2 linked regions of the Saccharomyces cerevisiae S288C genome follow. The protein of the gene in region 1 interacts with the protein of each later gene in a biochemical or structural test. Each region holds a gene or a part of one and is shown on either strand. Other genes may lie near its edges. The genes, in order: ATG2 and ATG1.

Region 1 (7,428 bases):
GAGATCAGACTGCAGTACAAAGCGGTCGCATCGGGTGTCTTCAAAGACATTCCAAATAACGAACTGGTCATCAGAGTGCAGCCCGATGCCGCTGTGTACCTAAAGTTTAATGCTAAGACCCCTGGTCTGTCAAATGCTACCCAAGTCACAGATCTGAATCTAACTTACGCAAGCAGGTACCAAGACTTTTGGATTCCAGAGGCTTACGAGGTGTTGATAAGAGACGCCCTACTGGGTGACCATTCCAACTTTGTCAGAGATGACGAATTGGATATCAGTTGGGGCATATTCACCCCATTACTGAAGCACATAGAGCGTCCGGACGGTCCAACACCGGAAATTTACCCCTACGGATCAAGAGGTCCAAAGGGATTGAAGGAATATATGCAAAAACACAAGTATGTTATGCCCGAAAAGCACCCTTACGCTTGGCCCGTGACTAAGCCAGAAGATACGAAGGATAATTAGAAAAATGCAAGCACATTCATTTATCGGCTAAGTCACTGAAATTTTTTTTTTCGAGTGATTTTATCTTGCAAGCTCACTCTCTTTGTTCTTTTCTCCTCTATAATGGCATCTTCCCCCCACCAACTCCTCTCTACTTGCGTGTGTATTTGTTTGTATACATGTGTAAATATATATACATAAAAGAATGTCGTCTCATGTATTTTTTAACTTTTAGCCGCGGTCAGTGACATTTTGGCTTTCCCACCATTCCACGTCTGAAAAAAAAAAAAAAAAAAGAGATAAAATATGAATTGAATATATATCAAAAATGTCTGCAAAAATTTTTACGAATCAGTCCGATTGGACTTGTACTTATCATTGATTTGCTCGTTATGCGTCTTATCCACTTGATTAGCTATTCCCTGTAAAGTCTTAGACACTGCCTCAGTGGCCCCAATTAACGGCCGAATAATTGCCACAGGTGCAGCTCTAGCAACATAAACTGCTGCGGCGCTCGGCCCTCCCCGTTTATCATCCTTCATCTGTCCCTTTGCCCTCCATACCGCATCGTACGCAATATGCATATGCTTTTCTAATGAACTATACGCCTCCTTCAAACCCGTGGGCAGGTCGAGGGGCTGATCTGCGTACAGACTCACTATTGTGGGTTCGTTGTGATCTCCCGGTGAAGACATATCGATGACTACTGCCGTGGGCTCATGATCTCTTATCCTGGAATATTTACTACCAACTAACTGATCCTCCTCGAATAAAGTATCCAAGTCTAATACAGCTGCAGTATCACTGTCTGCACCATCAGCGGAGCCAAATTTCGATGCATCGTACACCCTGCCATTGGAACCAACACCACCGAATAGTTCCTCGGTGTTCTCCAATATCGCCTGTGTCCCTGAAGTTAATTTAACTCCCAATTTCACAAAATCTCCCGTTGTCGTTTTCAAGAAGACATTGCCACCCTTTTTCAGACTCCTTCCCAAATGCCCTTCTTGCCTGTATTCTGACATTAGTACTGTGACTAGGGTCTTCACCCCTGACCCAATCGCCATAAACGATCTGACAGGAGCCAGTCCTTCCAAAACGCCAGGCAGCTGCTTTTTGGTAATATCCGGCGTCCAAATGGCTTTCAGTTTATTATTTAATTCATCGAATCCATTTAATCCATACAGGACTACGCTTTTCAAAATAATCTTGGATCCATCAAGGGTAAAAAAATTCATCAATTCAGAAGTTTGGCCCGATCTTAAACCCGCATAATCAACTTTTTTCGGCTTATAATCTAATCTTAACTTAATTGAATTAGTGCTAAATTTTTGAATAAATACAATATCTGGATACTCATCAATTAATTCAAATCTTTTATCTTTGAACCCTAAGAACCTTATTAGAAACTCTAAAGTGTCTTGATCCACGTGAAGGCGTAAAGGCGCAACATTTAATTGCATGACTAATTCCACTGCTTGCAAAAAGTCGATCGGCCGGATAAATTCCAGGTCCAGAAGAAACATCGGAGAACTGTGTGGCCACGGTTCGTGCTTTAGCAAAGTTACAAATTTATTCCAGGTGGACGTGGGAACATTATCGATAATTTCAAATTCGTAAATGGAAACTACACATCGGTTCAAAACATCTGTGGAATTATCAGAGTTAGACTCATCGGGTTCATCTACTCGATAATTCTTCAAATTGACATGTACTTTGTTCAATTGAATCAGGGCTTTGTAATGCTTAGAAGGTCGCAAATTAACTTTAGAGACATCAGAGAAGGAATTCTGAACCCCCTGGATCTCACCATCAAGATTTCTTCTCAAATCTGTGACATTGTTTTTGTTAGCAGATATATAAATAGAGTCAAAAATATTTGCCTCTGATTGGGGTACATTTGATTTCGAACTGCTTGCTTCCGCTTTACTGAGCTCTTTATCCAGTTTTTCAACAGTATTAGCGATAAATTTCCGCGTATATTTCCAATCATACCCATCGAATAGTTTTATAACAACTTTTTCGACATCTATACTACCCCTTATATCCACATCCCTTTCTTGCTCTTTTGAGGCGATTGGTGGAGTATCTTCTTCTTTTGGCTGAGCAGAGTCTAGATAACTCTCATGGGGAAGTAAAATACCACCTGTGGCAGTTCCAGAGGAACTGTCCATTTCATATGAACCTTGAGAGGATAGTTTACTTCTGGCACCATTGTTGAACTCGTGAGTTTTGTCGAGAAAACTGTCTACCAAATGCACTGAGTCGTAATCATTTTGATGATTGTTCTCCCGGATGAAGGCAGAATTGAAAAGATCACAATCGATGTCTTTGAATACATCGATAGGATTTTTCAACTGCGTTCTAAATTTTTCCTCATCAGGAAACGTCTGAGGATATTTTAAATCAATACAAAGCTGACAAAAAGTTTGAAAAGAATCCGCGCATAATGAAAGACCAACTTGTTCTATTTTACAATCCAATAAAAGGGCACCATCGGATTTGTTTATTAAAAAATTCAAAGTATCTATTTTACCGATTGCAGAGAAACCTTGACCAGCATAAAAATTTATCAAACTAGGCCAGTTCTTATCTTTTTGAATTTTGAAATTCTGATAGTCATCTATTAGGAAGAGTGTATTCGCCTTTGAAAGAAGCTTTGCCTGCGGAATAAATGAACTTCCACCAGTTGTTAGATTGTCAAGTACAATGACCATTACACTTTTTAATCTGAAAGGGTGCAGAATTAGAGAGCAGTCCAGACATTTGAGTTCCCAGGGAAATCCTGAAGTCGGTTGTTTTTTACTAAGCTTTTGTGAAACAGGTTCATCTTTTGAACTGGCATTATCCGGGCCGATGTTTTTCTTTAGTATTTCTAACCACCTTGCATAGTAATGTATGCGAATGTTGTTAAAAATGACTTTTAACTTTCCATTCGCCCTTCTATGAACATATAGTACAGGTTCGTTAACTGCTTTATTCAAAACTACTGACATGATTTCTTGTGGCTCTAATAATGACGGTGTCTTTCTTTCTACCTTTAAGTTCTTTGTAAAATATACAATTTGAGAGTCATCCGTAATCGCAAAGAAATTATTTGATAGTAATGCTTCCACAGAACCAAATTGCGGCCCTATAATTTCTGATACTTTTAACTTCATGGAATCTATCTTGAGAGAAAAATTAGCGGATAAACTCTGCTTGTAAACGAACCTGGAAGAATTAAGTACTCTGACACTTCTCTGCAAAAAGGAGCCTCTCTTGCTTTTAGACTTTCCTGTACATTCACTGTTCTTTGAATCCGTGAAAAGTTTTCCAAACGCAGAAATATCTTCGACTAATTGTACTATTCCAGAATATTCTTCGTTAAATATCACTTCTTTGATGATTGCATGGACAGAACTATAAATTAGCGCTTCTTTCAAAGTATCGTCATATGAACCCAGTTGTAGAGGGGATTGCAAGTTCGAGATCGTAATGCTCGACATTGTCAATATTTTCGTGCACCGAGAAGGTAGTTTTTTAAATACGTCTACAAGCTCAATGTACAACTCACGGTTAGAGTCGTAAATGAAGGGTGAAACCTGGAAACATAATAAAAAATATGGAAACTTAAGCGACAACTTCACTGCTTTTGAGGTAAGTTGTACGGTCCTTTTAGTATCCGATGCTATTTGAGGCATCATCCCTTTTGACTTATTCTGATAAAAGGACATACATTTTGAAACAAACTGAAAGATTTTAAAGAAATGCGCAATGCCATCATGACTGATAATAATATCTAGTTCGTCGCCCATATTTAATGCGATGCTTTGAGGGGTTTGTTCTCCAGTGAGCAATGGCTTAGTTTTATGGCTAATTGTCAATGGACTCGAATTAGAATAAAATGAGCCTAAAGAAAATGCCAATGAATTATTTTCCTTTTGCTCTAATTTAAAGCTCTTCAAAATTACTGTGATATCTTGGCCTAAGTTTAAGTATATACATTTGATATCAACAGAAGAAAGAGCTGATGGTTCCTGCTTGTCAGGTGAAGGACTTTGGGAATCCTGGCAAGAAAAGCTTTCATTGGCATCCAAATGTGTAACAATGATATCTATAATATTCTTCAAAGTGGAGTTTTTGATTTCGACAATTTTGTGTATCGCTAAATGAACATCCTGAATATCAATAACAATATTAGACATTCTGAGATCATTGACCGATGATAAACCCTTAAAAGCTATGTTCAAATTATTTATTTCCATTAAAGATTCCTTGCACTTATCATTCTCTTGTTCTTCTTGTGTAACTTGGGGTTCACTGGGGTCTTCATTTGATTGCTCTTCCATGGCGCTCATATAAAGTGAAGTAGCCTCCATTTTTGATAAATAAACGCTTTGTGACAGATCGTCATTATTGAAAGGATGCACAGGAGAGTCGGGTACAGCTTGTTTTTGTATTGAGGAAATGGTGATATTTTCAATGTTTATATGTCGTAAATTTGCGTCTGTAGTAATAAGTTGTATGCTTTCTAGATGAACCTCCACAATGTTATCGGAAGGATCTCTATCATTCACTATGAAACGTATGGTAACGTCCTTTAATGCTATTTTCAATTTCGCTAAGGCTACATTAAGGGCCTTGTTCCGCATATTTTGAAGAGTATAAGAACCATTTGCGGCTGGTTTTGAAGCTTCTATATTAGAGTTGAGATCACTACTACTGTCTGAAGAGCTAATGTCATCTTCTTTGTACCTATTATATGTGGTCAATGGATCACTAAATTGTAACATCGAATTCGTAAGATCTTGGATGCTTTTAACCAAAAAATCTGAGTGAAGTTCCTGTGAGCCACTGGAATATAAAGGTGTCATGATAAATCTTAAACCAGACCCATCGATTTCCACACCGCCAGAAACTGTTAATTTTAACACAAGCTCGTCAACTATGCCTTCGTTTATTTGCACGTTTGGAATGTTGAGATCATCAAGTGACAGATTCACATCATGGAACGAGAAATGTGACTTAGACCCTATAGAAACGTCCAAGTTAGATAAATCTATATTGGAGAACAGCGAAATTTGCTGAAGGACGTAAAGAAGCAGCCGCTTTTGTATATTTTGAGGTAACCAAAATGCCATTGTATCGAAATCAAAAAAAAAAAGGGTTCCTCTTAATTTGCTTTAATCTTTATGCTTTCCTTATTTTAAACGGCAGTAGAAATTTTGTATGAATGGTGAGTTGAAATAAAGTCGCAAAGATTACAATAGAAGCAAAATGGTAGACTCCTACAGAGATGTGATATGATAATAAGGGTGGGGTGTCTGTTCTTTGTTCCTTGCATATTCATTATCGCGATTATTTCCATTCGCCGCACCAAAAAAAGAAAAAATGTCCCCGGACGAGAACGCATATACCAATCAGATACAGAAAAACGTAAAAGACGTCTTCAAATAAATATATTTATATTAACGTTTATCTTTATATATAAAAAGTACAATTCATGATCAATCATCATCCTGGTTATAGTAGGCATGCCTTCTTATCTCGCCCAATCTCTTCCTGGCATTGCTCAAGGATTGTTCTAACTTCAAAATTTCCACTTGCTGTTCCATTTCGGCAGTCTTCAATGTGTGTTCGGATGTGAAGTCCAATGGTTGCTGCTGTTGCGAAGTCGAATGATCATCTTCAATCATACCCATGACGTGGTTACCCAAACTTCTGCATGCATCGGTAACATCTTTGGAACAGTGTTCCAATTTATCTTGGGCCTTCGAGTGGATGGAAGTTTTCACTCTCGATGCTGCTACCAATTGTATTGTGGATGCGGCCACTTCTTTGGAGGCGACGATAAATTGTTCAGGTGATGTGTTTTCATTGTCTTCAGAAGTGATTAACTTACTAGCAGTAGTGATTAAAACATTGGTTGCACCTGCCACAGCCTTTGCCGCGGAGATCAAACCTTCTGTCCATCTGCTGTTTTTCAAGTAGAATTGGTTCAGAGGAATACTTGTCGTGGTGGCAATTTCATTTTGGCACTGAATAGCAGCCTTTACCAAAGCCACAACAGCATCAATAATCATTAATGCCAATGACAACAATGGTTTAGGAACGTCAACACGTAAGTGTTCTGAGGATTTGACAATTTTGTCAGCAGTGGCAACCAATTCAGAATGTGGGTTCGTTTCTTTATTTGATTTGACAGATTGTATGTTCAATAACGGTTCGATAGCCAAAGATAGCTCTTGCAACTTCTCTTGCATGTCCACGTTGGCATTGATGACGATATCAGTTTTCTCCTCATCACCGACCTGGTTAAGATTTTCAGACATCAAATCCTCGAAGAAATATTGGGCCTCTCTGGCACATCTCTTCACCAGGGTCAAAATTTGATCAGACTGTTCTTGAGGTAATGTAGTAACGGCGTACGCCTTTGAATTGGTCACCAGTGTAGCCATCGAAGTACTGAAATCACTAACGCAGTGTATGACCTCTGTTTGGTCGCCGTGTGCAAGGCCGTCTACTATCAAATTATTGAAACTGGTGGCAAACTCAGTGGCGTTTTCAGAAGTACTTTCCAATAAGGACAAAAGGAAAGTGGGTGGAGTCAGCGGACCCGACCAACTCAAAGGAGAATCGAGATTATAGACCGATTCCTGGATGGTGTTGATACCGCTTTCCAATATGGCATCCAGAATAGGGTTCATTTTATCCTGAGTCATTGTTTCTGCTGCTGCTGTCGCCGCTGCACTGTCCGCCTCTGCATTATTAATGGATCTTTCTAATTCTAACCTTGCCCTGTCACGGTCCTTAACCAACTCGGCCATTTGCAAATCCTTTTGCTTCAATTTGTGTTCTAACTGTTCCTTTTTCTGAATGGATTCCTGCGCACTATTCACCTTTAACTGCAGTTTTTTAAAACGAGGTAAAAGATTTAGATGCTCTTGACGCAACTGGGAGTATAGCTTGGCTAAAGACTCATATTTTCTTTCCCAAACA
Region 2 (5,075 bases), on another chromosome or scaffold:
TTCCTTTTGATGGAGATGATGACAAAGCCATCGTGGAGCATTACATTAGAGACAAGTATATTTTGGGTAAATTCAGGTATGATGAAATAAAGCCTGAAGACTTTGGATCCAGAATGGATGATTTTGATGGGGAATCGGACAGGTTTGATGAAAGAAATAGAAGTAGGAGCAGGAGCAGATCTCATTCTTTCTATAAAGGGGGCCATAATAGGTCTGACTACGGCGGTTCCAGGGACTCATTCCAAAGCAGTGGAAGCAGATATTCTAGGCAACTGGCAGAACTCAAGGACATGGGTTTCGGTGATACAAACAAAAATTTAGATGCATTATCGTCCGCTCACGGAAATATCAATAGAGCAATCGATTATCTAGAAAAAAGTTCAAGTTCAAGAAATAGTGTATCGGCAGCAGCGACAACATCAACTCCGCCCCTGCCCAGGAGACGTGCGACAACAAGTGGCCCACAGCCAGCTATTTTTGATGGTACAAATGTAATCACGCCAGATTTTACTTCAAATTCAGCATCTTTTGTACAAGCAAAGCCAGCAGTTTTCGATGGTACCCTTCAACAGTATTACGATCCTGCTACCGGAATGATATATGTAGATCAGCAGCAATACGCCATGGCTATGCAACAGCAGCAACAGCAACAGCAACAGCTTGCTGTCGCACAGGCTCAGGCTCAGGCACAGGCACAGGCACAGGCTCAAGTTCAGGCTCAGGCTCAGGCTCAGGCCCAGGCTCAGGCTCAAGCACAGCAGATCCAGATGCAACAGCTTCAGATGCAGCAACAGCAACAGGCGCCATTATCTTTTCAGCAAATGTCGCAAGGAGGAAACCTGCCACAAGGTTATTTCTACACACAATAAAAATAAGATACATTGCCGCTGCTCCGCATTACATATCATATAGAGTGACACTAAGTAATTAAATGACACTAAGTAACGAAAGATATCTGTAAACAACGACTATATACCAGAATTAGTCATATTCTCTATTGTATTCACCCTACACAGCCGCATTACACAGCTGCTCCGGACGTTTTACGCTGCACATCAATGACTAATACCACTGTATTTGATCCACACTTAGCGCAAAAGTCACCTGGGTGGCGTTTTCCGCTCGCGCTCCGCCGGTGAGAGCGAGAAAAAAAAAAGGGATTGGGCGGTAATGTAAGGAAAACCCACTAGTTAAAATCAATGAGATAAGGAACTCTCTTTTTTTCCCGTTAATCATCTTTTCCTTGTTCGTTTCGTGTATCTGTAATGAATCTTATCGGAGTAACTATTACTGGAAAGCCATACCGTTAAAGAAGCAAGCATATCATTCGTATTCAAGCATCTGTTTTTCTTTTTAACCGCTCGGCTCTGATTTCTTAAACCATTTCCCCCATCAGCATCAGTTTGTGATTTGTAACTATATCGATCGTGGAATCGATGGAATTCTAAGCGTCATTTAGTTGGCAACAAAAGGAATCGAGCATCTCATAAAGGAGCTTATATTATTAATATCTTCCTGATCGTACTATTTTTTTTTAGCTTTTTATTTTTTAGGCCGAGGTTAATTCTAGAACGCCACATTTCATCACCTTTAAGTTAAGTACCAAGGCCATCTTTTACCCTTTTTAGTTTCTGGGGAAACAGAGAACAGTACTATAGAAGATAAAAAGATATAATACAATCGTAGTAATAGTACCCATAATAAAATAACATATAATATAATAAAAACATAAGGCAAAGGAGATAGGAGAATAATCATTGATATCTCCACAAAACGAATTTGAAGCTACCCCATATTTTCAAATCTCTTTTACAACACCAGACGAGAAATTAAGAAAATGGGAGACATTAAAAATAAAGATCACACAACCTCTGTGAACCATAATCTAATGGCAAGTGCAGGAAATTACACCGCTGAGAAAGAAATCGGAAAGGGTTCGTTTGCCACTGTATATAGAGGGCATCTGACATCCGACAAATCTCAGCATGTAGCCATAAAGGAAGTATCAAGGGCGAAATTAAAAAATAAGAAATTACTAGAGAATTTGGAAATAGAAATCGCTATCTTGAAGAAAATCAAGCATCCTCATATCGTCGGACTTATTGACTGTGAACGAACATCAACAGATTTTTATTTGATCATGGAGTACTGTGCTCTTGGGGACCTAACATTTCTGTTGAAAAGGCGTAAAGAATTGATGGAGAATCATCCTCTACTAAGGACCGTATTTGAAAAATACCCTCCACCGAGTGAGAACCATAACGGCCTGCATAGAGCGTTTGTCTTGAGTTATTTACAGCAGTTAGCGTCCGCTTTGAAATTTTTGAGGTCTAAAAACTTGGTTCATAGAGACATCAAGCCTCAAAACTTACTATTATCTACACCCCTAATTGGATATCATGATTCAAAAAGCTTCCATGAACTTGGATTTGTTGGGATCTACAACTTACCCATTTTAAAGATAGCAGATTTCGGGTTTGCAAGATTTTTGCCAAACACGTCATTAGCAGAAACTCTTTGTGGCTCACCATTATATATGGCACCAGAAATTTTGAATTATCAAAAATATAACGCTAAAGCAGATCTGTGGTCTGTCGGTACAGTGGTATTCGAAATGTGCTGTGGCACCCCACCGTTTAGAGCTTCCAATCATTTGGAGTTATTCAAGAAAATTAAAAGAGCAAACGATGTCATAACGTTTCCTTCATATTGCAATATTGAACCAGAGTTAAAAGAGTTGATATGTAGTTTATTGACATTTGATCCAGCCCAAAGAATAGGATTTGAGGAGTTTTTTGCTAACAAGGTAGTCAACGAAGACTTGTCTTCTTATGAATTGGAAGATGATTTACCTGAGTTAGAATCCAAATCAAAAGGTATTGTAGAAAGTAATATGTTCGTTTCTGAGTATTTATCTAAACAGCCAAAGAGTCCGAACAGTAATCTTGCAGGTCATCAATCAATGGCAGATAATCCCGCGGAGCTCAGTGATGCCCTCAAGAACAGCAATATATTAACTGCCCCAGCCGTTAAAACAGACCATACACAAGCCGTAGATAAAAAGGCTTCAAATAATAAATACCATAATAGCCTAGTTTCAGATAGAAGCTTTGAAAGAGAATATGTGGTGGTAGAGAAGAAATCGGTTGAAGTTAATTCATTGGCAGACGAGGTTGCTCAAGCAGGATTCAATCCAAATCCTATTAAGCACCCAACTTCAACTCAAAATCAGAACGTCTTATTGAATGAGCAATTCTCTCCAAACAATCAACAGTATTTTCAAAATCAAGGAGAAAATCCGAGGTTACTGAGGGCCACATCATCTTCCAGTGGAGGTAGTGATGGGTCTAGGCGACCATCTTTGGTGGATAGACGCTTGTCTATATCCTCGCTGAATCCATCTAATGCATTATCAAGAGCCCTCGGTATTGCATCAACGAGATTGTTTGGTGGTGCAAATCAACAGCAGCAACAGCAACAAATCACATCTTCCCCACCGTACAGTCAAACTTTGTTGAATTCCCAACTTTTTCATGAACTTACTGAGAATATAATATTAAGAATAGATCACCTACAGCATCCAGAGACACTGAAATTAGATAATACTAATATCGTTAGTATTTTGGAATCTCTGGCCGCAAAGGCATTTGTTGTTTACTCTTATGCAGAAGTGAAATTTTCTCAAATTGTTCCATTATCAACAACATTAAAAGGCATGGCTAACTTTGAGAACAGGCGCAGTATGGATAGTAATGCTATTGCAGAAGAACAAGACTCAGACGATGCAGAAGAAGAGGATGAAACGTTGAAAAAGTACAAGGAAGATTGCTTATCCACGAAAACTTTTGGAAAGGGTAGAACTTTATCTGCCACATCTCAGTTGAGTGCAACTTTCAATAAACTACCACGTTCGGAAATGATCCTTCTATGTAATGAGGCCATTGTCTTATATATGAAGGCATTATCCATTTTATCAAAATCTATGCAGGTAACGTCCAACTGGTGGTATGAATCTCAAGAAAAATCATGTTCTCTAAGAGTTAACGTGTTGGTACAGTGGCTAAGGGAAAAATTTAATGAATGTTTAGAAAAAGCTGATTTCCTGAGATTAAAAATTAACGACTTGAGATTCAAGCATGCTTCTGAGGTAGCTGAAAATCAAACTTTGGAAGAAAAAGGTAGTTCGGAAGAGCCAGTATATTTAGAAAAGCTATTATATGATCGTGCATTAGAAATATCTAAGATGGCCGCACATATGGAATTAAAAGGAGAAAATTTGTACAACTGTGAATTAGCTTATGCAACTTCACTTTGGATGTTAGAAACTTCTCTGGACGATGATGATTTTACGAATGCCTATGGTGACTACCCTTTTAAAACTAACATACATCTAAAAAGTAACGACGTTGAAGATAAAGAGAAGTATCATAGTGTGTTGGATGAAAATGACAGAATAATCATAAGAAAGTATATTGATAGTATTGCAAACAGGTTGAAAATATTGAGGCAGAAGATGAACCACCAAAATTAAGTGATGCATAATATGGTTTTCTTATTAAGTACAAATGACCTGCTATATTTTCAAGTATCTTCATGATTATGTTATGCTACTCTCGAAATGCTTTACGAGTTCGTCATTAAAGTATTCAAATTTTATTTTCCCTTTGTGTTTTGTTTTGTTTTTATTTCTACGTGATTTTTTTCTTGAAATCCAGCTCTTTTATACCTGGATGGGTTTTATTTTGATGTTTAAATGTTAATTAAGGAAATTATTGAATTCCTTCGGTTTCGGTGTGTTTTTTTCTTTTTAAGTTTTTTTTTGTTGCGTTTAGTACTTGCCTTTGGCTATACATATCCTTTTAATCTAATTTTTATTTCTTCAAAATTTGATTCTTTAACCTTTTGTTCTATATATATATATAAATGTATGTATGTATGATTTGATTGAGGAGGCTTTAACAAGTCATTAATATCTTTATTATTTTTACTTGTTGAGTTCATTAAAATTCATTTTATAATTTGTTGTTACAAACAGTATTTTACAAGTCATAATAAACGTTCAAAAACAAACACAA

The links.
Region 2: of the proteins of ATG2 (region 1) and ATG1, one has a biochemical effect on the other in vitro, tested with the Saccharomyces cerevisiae proteins (2 studies listed by BioGRID).

What each region holds. Positions count from the first base shown.
Region 1 is NC_001146.8:189,466-196,893, reverse strand, and holds ATG2 (Atg2p), read right to left. Parts: upstream 5,571-7,428; coding exon 792-5,570; downstream 1-791. Other genes in the region: ZWF1 (glucose-6-phosphate dehydrogenase), read left to right, coding at 1-468; SLA2 (Sla2p), read right to left, coding at 5,937-7,428. UniProt on the Saccharomyces cerevisiae protein: Lipid transfer protein required for autophagosome completion and peroxisome degradation. Tethers the edge of the isolation membrane (IM) to the endoplasmic reticulum (ER) and mediates direct lipid transfer from ER to IM for IM expansion.
Region 2 is NC_001139.9:158,228-163,302, forward strand, and holds ATG1 (serine/threonine protein kinase ATG1), read left to right. Parts: upstream 1-1,837; coding exon 1,838-4,531; downstream 4,532-5,075. Other genes in the region: GTS1 (Gts1p), read left to right, coding at 1-869. UniProt on the Saccharomyces cerevisiae protein: Serine/threonine protein kinase involved in the cytoplasm to vacuole transport (Cvt) and found to be essential in autophagy, where it is required for the formation of autophagosomes.